Astyanax mexicanus: one gene and its partners. The protein of the gene in region 1 purifies or fractionates together with the protein of each later gene. This does not show direct contact. Links are inferred from orthologs where the notes say so. Each region holds a gene or a part of one and is shown on either strand. Other genes may lie near its edges.

What was found.
Region 2: the proteins of mphosph10 (region 1) and imp3 purify together in Homo sapiens (affinity purification with mass spectrometry; 4 studies listed by BioGRID and IntAct, with this or other methods). This does not show direct contact. The link is inferred for Astyanax mexicanus from reciprocal best matches to the Homo sapiens genes MPHOSPH10 and IMP3.
Region 3: the proteins of mphosph10 (region 1) and imp4 purify together in Homo sapiens (affinity purification with mass spectrometry; 3 studies listed by BioGRID and IntAct, with this or other methods). This does not show direct contact. The link is inferred for Astyanax mexicanus from reciprocal best matches to the Homo sapiens genes MPHOSPH10 and IMP4.

Annotation. Positions count from the first base shown.
Region 1 is NC_064430.1:30,525,729-30,529,482, forward strand, and holds the start of mphosph10 (U3 small nucleolar ribonucleoprotein protein MPP10), read left to right. Parts: upstream 1-834; 5' UTR 835-883; coding exon 884-957; intron 958-2,314; coding exon 2,315-3,011; intron 3,012-3,754. UniProt on the Homo sapiens protein: Component of the 60-80S U3 small nucleolar ribonucleoprotein (U3 snoRNP). Required for the early cleavages during pre-18S ribosomal RNA processing. Part of the small subunit (SSU) processome, first precursor of the small eukaryotic ribosomal subunit.
Region 2 is NC_064415.1:56,932,374-56,936,127, reverse strand, and holds the start of imp3 (U3 small nucleolar ribonucleoprotein protein IMP3), read right to left. Parts: upstream 2,616-3,754; 5' UTR 2,484-2,615; coding exon 2,347-2,483; intron 1,730-2,346; coding exon 1,622-1,729; intron 1,508-1,621; coding exon 1,433-1,507; intron 1,238-1,432; coding exon 1,158-1,237; intron 782-1,157; coding exon 730-781; intron 505-729; coding exon 432-504; intron 1-431. UniProt on the Homo sapiens protein: Component of the 60-80S U3 small nucleolar ribonucleoprotein (U3 snoRNP). Required for the early cleavages during pre-18S ribosomal RNA processing. Part of the small subunit (SSU) processome, first precursor of the small eukaryotic ribosomal subunit.
Region 3 is NC_064429.1:38,794,579-38,798,332, forward strand, and holds the start of imp4 (U3 small nucleolar ribonucleoprotein protein IMP4), read left to right. Parts: upstream 1-721; 5' UTR 722-795; coding exon 796-798; intron 799-2,001; coding exon 2,002-2,110; intron 2,111-2,343; coding exon 2,344-2,427; intron 2,428-3,221; coding exon 3,222-3,331; intron 3,332-3,508; coding exon 3,509-3,641; intron 3,642-3,754. UniProt on the Homo sapiens protein: Component of the 60-80S U3 small nucleolar ribonucleoprotein (U3 snoRNP). Required for the early cleavages during pre-18S ribosomal RNA processing. Part of the small subunit (SSU) processome, first precursor of the small eukaryotic ribosomal subunit.

The DNA of each region.
Region 1 (3,754 bases):
TAAACTGGAAGATCACGTGGAACCTCCGTCCTGTTTCTAAGGGAACGTGGTCTCGCGGACCGGGACTATGACGGTCAGTTTGATTCTTTTAATCGAACCGACTCTTGCAAACGACCTGCGTCTATTGATTCAGTGAATCATTGATTCGGGCTTATTGATTCAAAATAAGCGATTTTTTTCCCCCTCATTTATGATTAAACTGTCATTTATTGTTTTAAGTTCATCTTAAGTGTTAAGTTTATTATTAAAACAATTTATTTTTATTTTTAGGCTTTATCTTGTATGTTTATCGCTTATCCTGTAAAATAATAATAATACAATATTCTGAAATATTCAGAAATAGCGAATATGTCTGATTTAGAGTTTTTTAGAGTATTTTTTTTATCTTAACTTATTTCTAAGTTCCTTCAAGTAAGTTTTAAATGATCTAATCTGCTAAAAGTGTAAAAATAAAAGCAATAAGTTCGAAATAAGATGAATATTATAATAGAAGTTAACATAGATCCAGGCTTATTTGATTGGCAGTGCAGTGCAGAAGTGTATAAATGATACATGTATACTTATGTATACTATGTAAAAGTAGATATAATTGTATTTTTAAATTATATTTTGAACATATAATGTTACAGACTTTCACTAAGAATACAAAAGAAACTCTGTTAACTTGCAGAAAATGGCTGTCAATTATAAACATGTGAAAAATACTTTCAGAATATTCTTTTGTAAAAAAAAATAGATAATTTAATTATTTTTAAAATTGTTTATTATAAATGTTTGGAATAAAGGTTGGGTTGAGTGGTGACTCGTGAGTCGGTTCCTCTGATTCGGTTGGTGAGGAGTCGTGTGTGAGGAGTCGGTTGATTCAGTGGGAGCAGTAGCAGTGATGGCGGCGCGCACGCTGGAAACGTGTTTAGAGGTTTTGGAGAGGAGCGCGGCTCTGCCCGAGCGCTTCTTACGGTGAGAGGAGATCATTTACCCGGTTCTAAACTCAGGCAGGGCCGCGGAGGGCTGGTTCTGTTTGTTAGAGGAATTTATCAGGTTGTTGTGTTTAAATGGGGCAGATGGGGTTCAGTGCTGCAGCTCGCGTGTCTCAGTAACTCCAGCGTGGCTGCTTTAACTTTAGCTTTACAGCAGCAGTTCAGTTCTACCTTTCTCTTCAGAGATTCAGTGTGTGTAACAGTGTGTGCGTGTGTAACTGAGTGTCAAACACTGTGTGTAACAGTATGTGTGTAACAGTGTGTGCGTGTGTAACTGTCTTAACAGTTTCTGTGTGTGTGTGTGTGTGTGTGTGTGTGTGTGTGTGTGTGTGTGTGTGTGTGTGTGTGTGTGTGTAACCGCGTAACCGCGTGTGTTTAACAGCGTGTGTAAGTGTGTGTGCCTATGTAACTGTGTCCAGCCGTATGTCCAACCGCGTGCGTGTGCAATAATGTGTATAACTGCGTGTATGACTGTAAAAATGTGTGACTGCGTGTATGTGTGTAACAGTAAGTGACTGTGTGTAACTGTGTTAGTGTGTGTGTGTGTGTGTGTGTGTGTGTGTGTCTAGTGTAAGAGTGTGCAAAATAGCAACAATATTAGCTAGGTCACAAAATCTAATGACTTTTTTCCATGATACACAACATGTATTGATATATGTTGACTCACAGACAACCCAAGAAAAACACTGTTTCTGTCCATCCAATTAAACTGATAAAAAAAAGAAGTACAGCTGTTCAGTCATCAGTGTTTGAATGCTGATAAATAGGCCTGCGCAGTATAACATTTCATTTTGTTTGGAAGCTGTGCTTCTGATCTTCTACCAGTCACTAAAGGAATCCCTCTGGGTTCAGTTATAGGGTAGTTATATTTAATATATCAATAAAAATGTGTTGACAGATAAAGATTGTAAAGTACATCTGTATACTGAAGACTTACTTCTTTACTGCACTGCAAATATTGCAGAGTGGGCTGTTAAAAACTGCTTTGCCCTTCTGACTTCTTTCAGATTGCCTCCAAAGCCACAAATTAATTTGCAGATTTACTTCAGTATGAAAAAATATTACAATTAGGATGGTCAGCAACATTTATTTCAGAAAAGCAAAAGAGAAAGCTTATTTTTTCCGCTTAAATAAAGTAATCTAACTAATTAACTGGACAGTAGAGACATGAATCCGATAACGCGTTCTGTTAAATTTCTCATGTGTAGTTGATGTTGTATAGTGTGTGTATAGTGCTGGTGTGTGTTGAATAGTGTGTAGTGTATAGTGCTGATGTGTGTATAGCTCTTCAGGTGAGCATCTCTCATGTTCCTCCTCTGTGTTTATGACTGTAACAGGCTGCAGGATGCTCTGGCCTCAGACTTCACCGCCCTCACTAAGACCCTGTACGACCTGCACAAATCCCAGCCGCAGGCCGGCAGCACCGGCAGCCCACTGGACCAGCTGGTGGTGGAGAACTTCGATGAGGAGCAGATCTGGCAGGAGCTGGAGCTTCAGAACAGCACCGTGATCCAGCACTTCGAGGAGGCCGTGGGTCAGGCCGTCGCCGACGACACACTAACCATCATCACAGAGGAAGAGGAGGATGAGGAAGATGAAGGAGATGGAGAGAATGGTGATGATGAGGAGCTGGAAGATGATGAGGAAGATGATGATGAGGAGGACAACAACAAAGAAAACAGACTAAAGCCTAAATCAAAAGCAGCAGCAGCAGCTGATGATGAAGATGAGGATGAGGAGGAAGATGGATTTTCTGATGAGGACTCTGATATCGATTTTGATGTGGATAAATTAGAGAAACAGAGCAAACAGAAGAAGAACAGCACAGCGAAGTTCCCTCCCTCCAGGACTGTGTCGGAGGTGGATGATCAGTTCTTTAAGCTGGCGGAGATGGAGGCGTTTCTGGATGATATGGATAAGAGGGAGGGGAAGGAAGGTGTGGGGGAGGAAATCGATTATTTTCAGGAGTTGCCCTCAGACGAGGATGAAGAACTGGGCTTTGATGAGCCAACAACGTCAAAAAGTCGGAAAAAGGTGAGTAAGCGCTGTTTTTATATATATATTATAACCCGAGCTCAGCGATACGAGCTCAAAGCGCTGTCACAATAAAATAAACATTTCATTTTAATTATGATAAATGGAAAGTTCTTTTAATGAGAGACGGACACAGTGACCTTCTTTGTCAGGGGTAGAGTCACGTAACTACACACAATTAGGCCTGTCACGATAACATTTTCAGGATGATATATCGTCCCAGAAATTATTGTGATAAACAATAATATTGTCATTTTAAAGCACCACTATAGAAAATGCTTTTTCCTGCTTCTGGGCTCCCAAAGGAGCTTTAAGACAATGTGCCACTATATATATACTATATTATATACTAGCAAAATATTTTAATATCCTAAATAACTAAAACAAATAAAGTACAACCACCCTGTGTTCTAAAAAACTGCACTAAATAGTAAACAGACCCTTATTCAAAAAATAAAGTAACAACAAATAGATTAATGTTACATTTACATTAAGTATTTTTGAAAAAAACTCTGAACACATAGGCACTTGCAGATTCCTTTTTCTAATCATATATGTCAGGGGTGTCCAAACTTTTTTTGTTGGGGGCCAGAAGGAGAAATATATTTGAAGTCACGGATCACAGACTCTGTAATAAAACAAATAATGAAATATACCACTTTAAATAATACATTTTCCTGATTACTTTCATTTACACACCATTTTACTTGACTTACTATCTTTATCTTTGGCAGTGTTGTGTA
Region 2 (3,754 bases), on another chromosome or scaffold:
TAAATGCGAGGTAGTGACATTAGCACACTAGCAAGTAACATTAGATTGCAAGCTGGAAACCTTATCATACTAGGTAGCAACGTTAGTGTATTGTGTATTGTTTATTGTACACAACAGCACCCAAAAATATTGCATGTTTAACTTCATTTTCCAGCAGGACTTGTCACACTGCCCACACTGACAAAAGTACTAATCTGATTAATCCCCTGAGAGCGGAAATGGATCTTAAAATCTAATTCAGAACCAATTGACAGAAATCCAGAGTAGGTGACATGAGGCCAGACATTCAAACTATTATAAAAACAGGCAACTTTCAATTGGGAACCGTTTATATTAATTCCAGACTGTTGTGAGAACAGAAACAAGACACACAAACATTTTTCCAGCACAATAACTAGGATAAAGGACAGACATTAGCATAGCATTCATACCTCCTCATTGTAATTCATGACATGCTGTTTGATCTTGGAGGAGTCCACCCAGGTCACAAAATCCTCCATGTTCCTGTGGAGGTAATAAATAAATAATGCAAATAAACCTATGGATAAACAAGATATGTAACAGTTGGGATGCACCAACTTGGGAACTGTAAGGTTTCTGTAGATATACTATACTGACAAAAGTATTCACTGGCCTGCATTGCGTTTGATGATATCACGTGAAAGCTGGAGTTGAATATGACTAAATTAAAAAGAAAAAAAAGAGAAAAAGAATAAAAACAGAACTGACCTTGTAACAAGAAAAGCAGGGTCTGTGACGACCTCTGGCCCAACACGAATATCTGCCATTCAGTGAAGGAACTGTAATAATCATATATATATATATATATATATATATATAAGAATACTAATTAATGATCAGAATTATGTAACCTAGTTGGATTTTATAAGTTAAATATTGATATTTTTAGATTCTAAAAAGCAGAAATCAGGTTCAAATGATATAGATTCAAATTCACGCTTCTAATAACATGATTCTAATTTCATATGACAGGTAAGCCTGTGTTTTGTCCACACTGTGTTCATCCTTAAATCAAAACAAACTGAATTATTAAGAACTGGTGAAAGCGCTTTTTTGGTGCTTCATGGTTTCAATAGGACCATTTCTTCTGGTTCTAACAAACTGAACCAGCTCTTTAAAACAGTAAGTAAGGATACGTCCTTGTTCGATGAACGTGACGGCAGCTTTCAGGTTCTGAGCCATGCGCAGCTTCAGCATAATTGTTGGCAGCCGTCTCCTGCAGGTCAGACATAATAGAGAGAAATCAATCATTACTTTTACACTATTTTCAAGCACAATTCTCTATTATACTTAGAATTAATCTGTAGCATGACACTGAAATGACTTTTGCACCATAAGTAAACCTACTTATACATCATGATCTGTTTTCTCACACACAAACAAACTCATTCACTCTCTCTCACTCACTCACCTACAAAAGCAGGAAGCACTGACAGCATCTGCAAGAGCCAGGTTCTGTTTGGTGGGGATCAATCCGATACAGTAGCTGCAAAGAGAAAAAACTGAATCAGACAACACATCCTTACACATTATTTTACACTATTCCACTGTTCAGAATATCAGCTACAGATGAGGAGGTGAGGAAAGTTCCTAAACGTACAGTTTCTCCAGGAACTGTGAGGTGCTCTGAGCTCGGAAACCGTCCTTTTCATCCAAGTCGCGGATTTTCTGGGCCAGTTCTCTGATGTTGCGACTCAGTTTGTTGTACCTAAAAAAAATAATACATTAACATTATAACATTAATATTTTCTTACCCTTATTCTAGTGTATCTAAAAAAAAATAAATATTATTGTAAAGTTAGTGTAATACACTATTTTAAGAATTTATTTCTTCTTTTTTGTTGATGATTATGGCTTACAGCCAATAAAAAACTCAACAATCAGTGTCTCAGAAAATTATAATAATATTACATAAACGCAATTGGTACTTGTGGTAGTGTCGGCAGTGTGCCAAGTACTGCTGGAAAATGAAATCCGCATCTCCATACTTTGGACCAACACCAGCAGATGACATGTCTCTCCAAATCATCACTGATTGGTGGAAACTTCACACTAGACCTCAAGCAGTCTGGACTGTGTGTCTCTCCATCCACTCTTCCTCCAGACTCTGATCCCTTGATTTACTTTAAATGAAATGTAAAATTTACTGATGAACAGTGATGGTTTGGAGAGACATGTCTGTCATCTGCTGGATCTTGTTTGTTATTTTTCTTTTGGTTCAGTTTTCAGAGAACAGTTAGACAAGGTAAAACAGGCAAACTGAGATTTTAAAAAGATTTTAAAAGAGGAAAAGGCTGAATCTGTATATTCAGTATAAACACTCACTTGGTGTAGTCCTCTCTCTTCTCGATGTGGTATTTTCTCAGGATCTTCACCTCGTGCAGGTTATTATCCACCTCCCAGTTAATAAAGTCTACTTTCCTCAGGAGCTTCTGCTCGTGGAACTTCAGCTTTCGGACCATTTTACCGATTAAATCCGCTAAACTACAGAGAAACAGAGAGAGCTAATCTTAGCGGAGTCTGAGAAACACTACAGTGAGTGAGGAGAAACACATGGCCGCCTGCAGGAGAAACACAGCGGCTCTGAAACAGCGCCCCCTACAGACCGGGAGGAGCATTTAATTTCTTTATTATTCTCTCTCCATTTAGCCCCATTTCCACCTTCTACCGTCCAATTTACTCCTTTTTTAATCTTTCTATCTCCTTTTTCTCTTATTCTTTCTTTCTTTTTTAATTTTGTGTTGTTTCCTTTTTAGCTCACTTTCTTTCTTTCTTTCTTTCTTTGTTTTCCTCTTTAGTTGATCTTTCTGTCTTTTATTTTTTTCTGCATCTCTTCTTTCTTTCTTTCTTTCTTTCTTTCTTTTTTCTTCTTTATTCACATCATTCTCCCTTCTATTTGTCATTTTTAGTACTCTTTTGTCCCCCCAATTTTGTATTATTTTTATCCTCATTTGTTTTTCTATTTCTATGTCCTGTCCCTTTTCTTGTCCCCTTATTTTTTTCTTTCTTTCTTAATTTTTCTCTTATTTTTTTCTTTCTTTCTTAATTTTTCTCTTATTTTTTTCTTTCTTTCTTGTTTTCTTTCTTTATTTCTGTTGCTCTTTTCTTTCTTTCTTTCTTTCTCTTCAGTCCCATCCTTCTCCCTTCTGTCATTTTTCATACTCTTTTTTATTTTTATCTTAATTTTTTTTTTCAGTTTTACTTTTCTCTTTTTTCTTTACTATTTTTTTCTCCTATCCCCTTCCTCTGTTCCTGCTTTTTTATTTTGTATTTCTTTCTGTTTCATTTTTCTATTTTTCTGTTGTATATTTTGTTACTTTTGTACTTTTTCCTGTTTATTTTTCTCTCCTCTTGACTCGTGAGAATTGTGAATTTGCACAGTTGAGGTGTAAATATAATGTAATAACTCTCAGGTTGATACAGAATGGAGACGTTATGAATCATATGTTCAGTTTTGCATACCTGAGTAATTGCTGTAATTTATTGGTTGTTTTGTTGTTCTGAAATGAGCTTCTACTCTGTTCTTATGAAAAGAAAGAAACGTTCAGTCAAACCTGTTTCGTTTTATTTTTTTAAAGCCTCCATACCTTCACATCTGAGCTTTTCATCAAGGAGATTACCCTCACAATGGAGCTGAACTTTCTCCTCTATAGAAACTAGAAGAACTGGACCTGATGGTCCAACTGGCTTCCTGGACCTGCAGCATCCATTACAAAACTCAAAACTACACATT
Region 3 (3,754 bases), on another chromosome or scaffold:
CTACTCATTTACATCTGTTCATTTTATCATTTCATTTATAAGTTATAAATTACTGCAGGTGGTTTGGTTTGGTGTGGATCAGGATTTTTATCTCACATATAAAGTACAGTATTTTACTACCAAATATTTGTTATTTAAACTCGAATCTGAACAAAATTTTACATAAATAATTTGTTTTGTAAGTTAAATGTATTTAATTTTCTTTCAGTGCCATTTTAAAAGCAACAGTCTTCCATTTTCTAAAATATTCATAAAGCATCTCTTTGTTAATAAGTGTATTTAACGGATTTGTATATGGAAATAATGCTATTTTGTTTTAATTGTTTTTCAGCAAACATTTTTTTAAACATTTAATTTTTACCTTTTAATGACTGTAAAACCGAAAAACTGCAATGAAGTTTTACTGGAATTTAATTTAAATAAAAAATACAAAACTATTATTTTGATCTGATAGAAAACTTACTTTGTTCACTCTGTTCATAAAAAAAACTGTTTTTTTTTTCAGATTATTACTGATGTTTTAAAACCTAAAACATTATTAAATCTTATCATCACATTTTACTGCAGCAAAGCACGTAAAAGAATGGATCCATTTAATATACAATATATATTATAATATACTGTATTTTTTTGAGAAATAATTTAAGTTAATAAAGATTTTTAAATAGTACCGTTTTATCGTTAATAATTGAAACGTTGTTTTCTTTACGTTTATAGGACTTTTATTTTGAACGAGTCAGGCCGGAAGCTGGGTCAGTCGGTGGTAAACACGTGTGGAAGAGAAAAATCTTCAGAATGGTAAAAACTGTTTATTTTTATTAAATATATTTGTTTATTTTTATGTTATTAATTTAATAGTGTTATTTATATCCAGCCCGTCTGTGTTGATTAAACAGGAACTCTGTATAAAAACTGTAATTAGTTCTGAACCGCTAATCTATAAAATACTGACCGATTATTAAAAACACGATCAGGAGTTTAAACTCTATATAAGATACAGTTTATAGTGTTTATTGTGTTTATAGTGTTTATAGTGTTTATAGTGTTTATAGTGTTTAGCTTTAATGAGGCGAGTCCACCTTAACGCGTCGCCTTAAAATGCTGAACTGTTTAAGGTGGACCGGACATTTAAAAAAGAAAAACAGCTTTAAAATGAACGGTTTCAGTTTATAGTTTATAAATTATATAAAGATAACTTTATATACAATACTGTTTATAGAACCTGCATTTAAGAACTAAAGTGGGAAACCAGTAAATAATGTAGATTTGTACAGTAAAATAAAAACGATTTTAAAACGATTTTTTATCTCGAAACATATTTTACGTGTTAACATTAATTTTTCAAAATAGTAATATTAGTATTTGTTTGCAATAACTCAAGACTAACTTCTGAAGTATTTTCAGCTTTTCCGGTGTTTTTATGAAGATTAATCTAAATACAACTGATTTACCACAAGAAATGAAAAAGTCACTTATTTACACTAAAAATTAAAATGAGAAGACAGTAAGTTAACATTATATTATTAATGTATGCATTTGAAATTAATACAAATTACAGATGCACCAAGCAAAATGCCACTTTTTACCACTTTTTAAACTGTGTTTTAAGACAAAACACAGTTTAAGTTCAAAACTTTAATTTAAAATATTTATTGAACACAGACAAACCAGTAAAGCCCATTACATTTACCTCAGAATTTCTATTGTAAAATTAAAGCTATCTCAGCAGTTCTATTATAATAATGAATTTATCTCAGCAGTTCTATTATAGTAATAAATTTATCTCAGCAGTTCTATTATAATAATAAATTTAACTTCAGGATTTCTATTATACTAATGAATTTAACCTCAGAATTTCTATTGTAAAATTAAAGCTATCTCAGCAGTTCTATTGTAATAATGAATTTATATCAGTAGGTTAATTAATAACTGTATATGATGATAATCTCAGTGCTTTATAGTTTATGATCAGTGTTTTCTGATCGGAATTTTCTGCTGCAGCTTCGGCGGGAGATCCGGCTCAGGAAGGAGTACCTGTACAGGAAGGCCCAGGAGGAGCGACTGCACTCCATCGAGGAGAAGAAGCAGAAGCTGAAGTCTGCGTTAGATGGTGAGACTAAAATCTGTTCTAAAATAAAAACAAAACCTGGACTAATTTATAAAATGATGTAAGGATTCAGATTCTATGATTGTAAACAGGCTCTGATGTGAGAACCATGTCTACACCATCATAAAAATGAGAATTTTCTTATAGAATAAATAGTAATATAAACTGAATATGATGTCGTGGTGAAGATGTCACTTGCTTTAAATTTTGATTTTTTATTTATTTTTTTACAACAGAAAATCGTCTGATACCCACTGAGGTCCGTAAAGAAGCTCTACAGCTTCAGAAACTGCTGGAGTTTGATGATGAAGGTGGAGAAGGTAACTCAGTTCATGGATTTATCACATCTGCATAAATAATGCAACTATGGTTATATATATATATATATATAGATATCTGCTCATGTGAGGGATTTAAAATAGGACGAAAAAACCCTTTAAGAACCAAAAACTCTCTTTAGCAGAATGTTTGTCTCGATCCTCTTATGGAGTAAAAAGATGCTCTATAGAAGTTGTCAGGTTTTATAGTGATGTTTCTATAGTTATGTAACACTTTGAGATATGCTTTAAATGTAAAGTGTGTTACAAATTGATTATTATATGAACCTTGATTATTTGCTTCTTTTATTTGTTATTTTACTTGATATTTTGGTTTGTTCTTTTGTGTTTTAGATTACTTTTATTTATTTAATTTTATTTATTTATTATATGTATGTGTATGCATGTTTGTGTATGTGTATATATGTATATGTGCATATGTGTACATGTATGTATGTAAATATATGTATATGTATGTATTAGGTATTTTATTTCTGTCTGTAAAGCACTTTATGAGGTGCTCTAGAAATGTGCTTTATAAATAAAGCTTACTTACTTACTAAATAAAATGTATTATTTTTATTGTTATTAGGATTTAGGCTTCAGGTTTAGGGATAGTTTTTTTAAGGGTTTGGCTCCTGGGTTTAGGGATTAGAGTTTGGTTTAAAGGTTTAGGATTAGGGTTTAGGGTTTGGTTTTGGGTTTGGGATTAGTGTTTAGGCTTTGGGTTTAGGGCTCGGGTTTAAGGTTTAGACCTGCAGTGCACTGATTCTCTGCTGTGGTTCTGTTGGGATCAGGGGTCAGCTCTCATATGGATGATGAGTATAAGTGGGCCGGAGTGGAAGACCCGAAAGTGATGGTGACGACGTCCCGGGACCCGAGCTCCAGGCTGAAGATGTTCGCTAAGGTCGGTTAAAGATAAATAAAAGGATTAAAAGTTTACAGACTTTGTTAAACGTCTGTTATAAGTCTGTTTCACTGATCTGGAGACGATGTTTGTTCTCACATCTCTTATAAACCACTCCCTGTCTGTGGTTAACGTGGTGTTCATGTCAGCAGAGATAACGTTTAAATTTTTACTCAGGAAGTGAAGCTGATGTTTCCAGGGGCCCAACGCATGAACAGAGGAAACCACGAAGTTAACACTTTAGTGCACGCCTGCAAAGCCAACGGCGTCACCGACCTGGTCATCATCCAGGAGACGCGAGGACAGCCTGGTGAGTTCATAGTGAACTCGGAGGGGTTGGGGGGGTTATTTCTGCATTCAGGATATTTTTGATCATAATGGCAACCGTGTCATTTTTTTTTTACTGGTTGGCGCGACCGACCA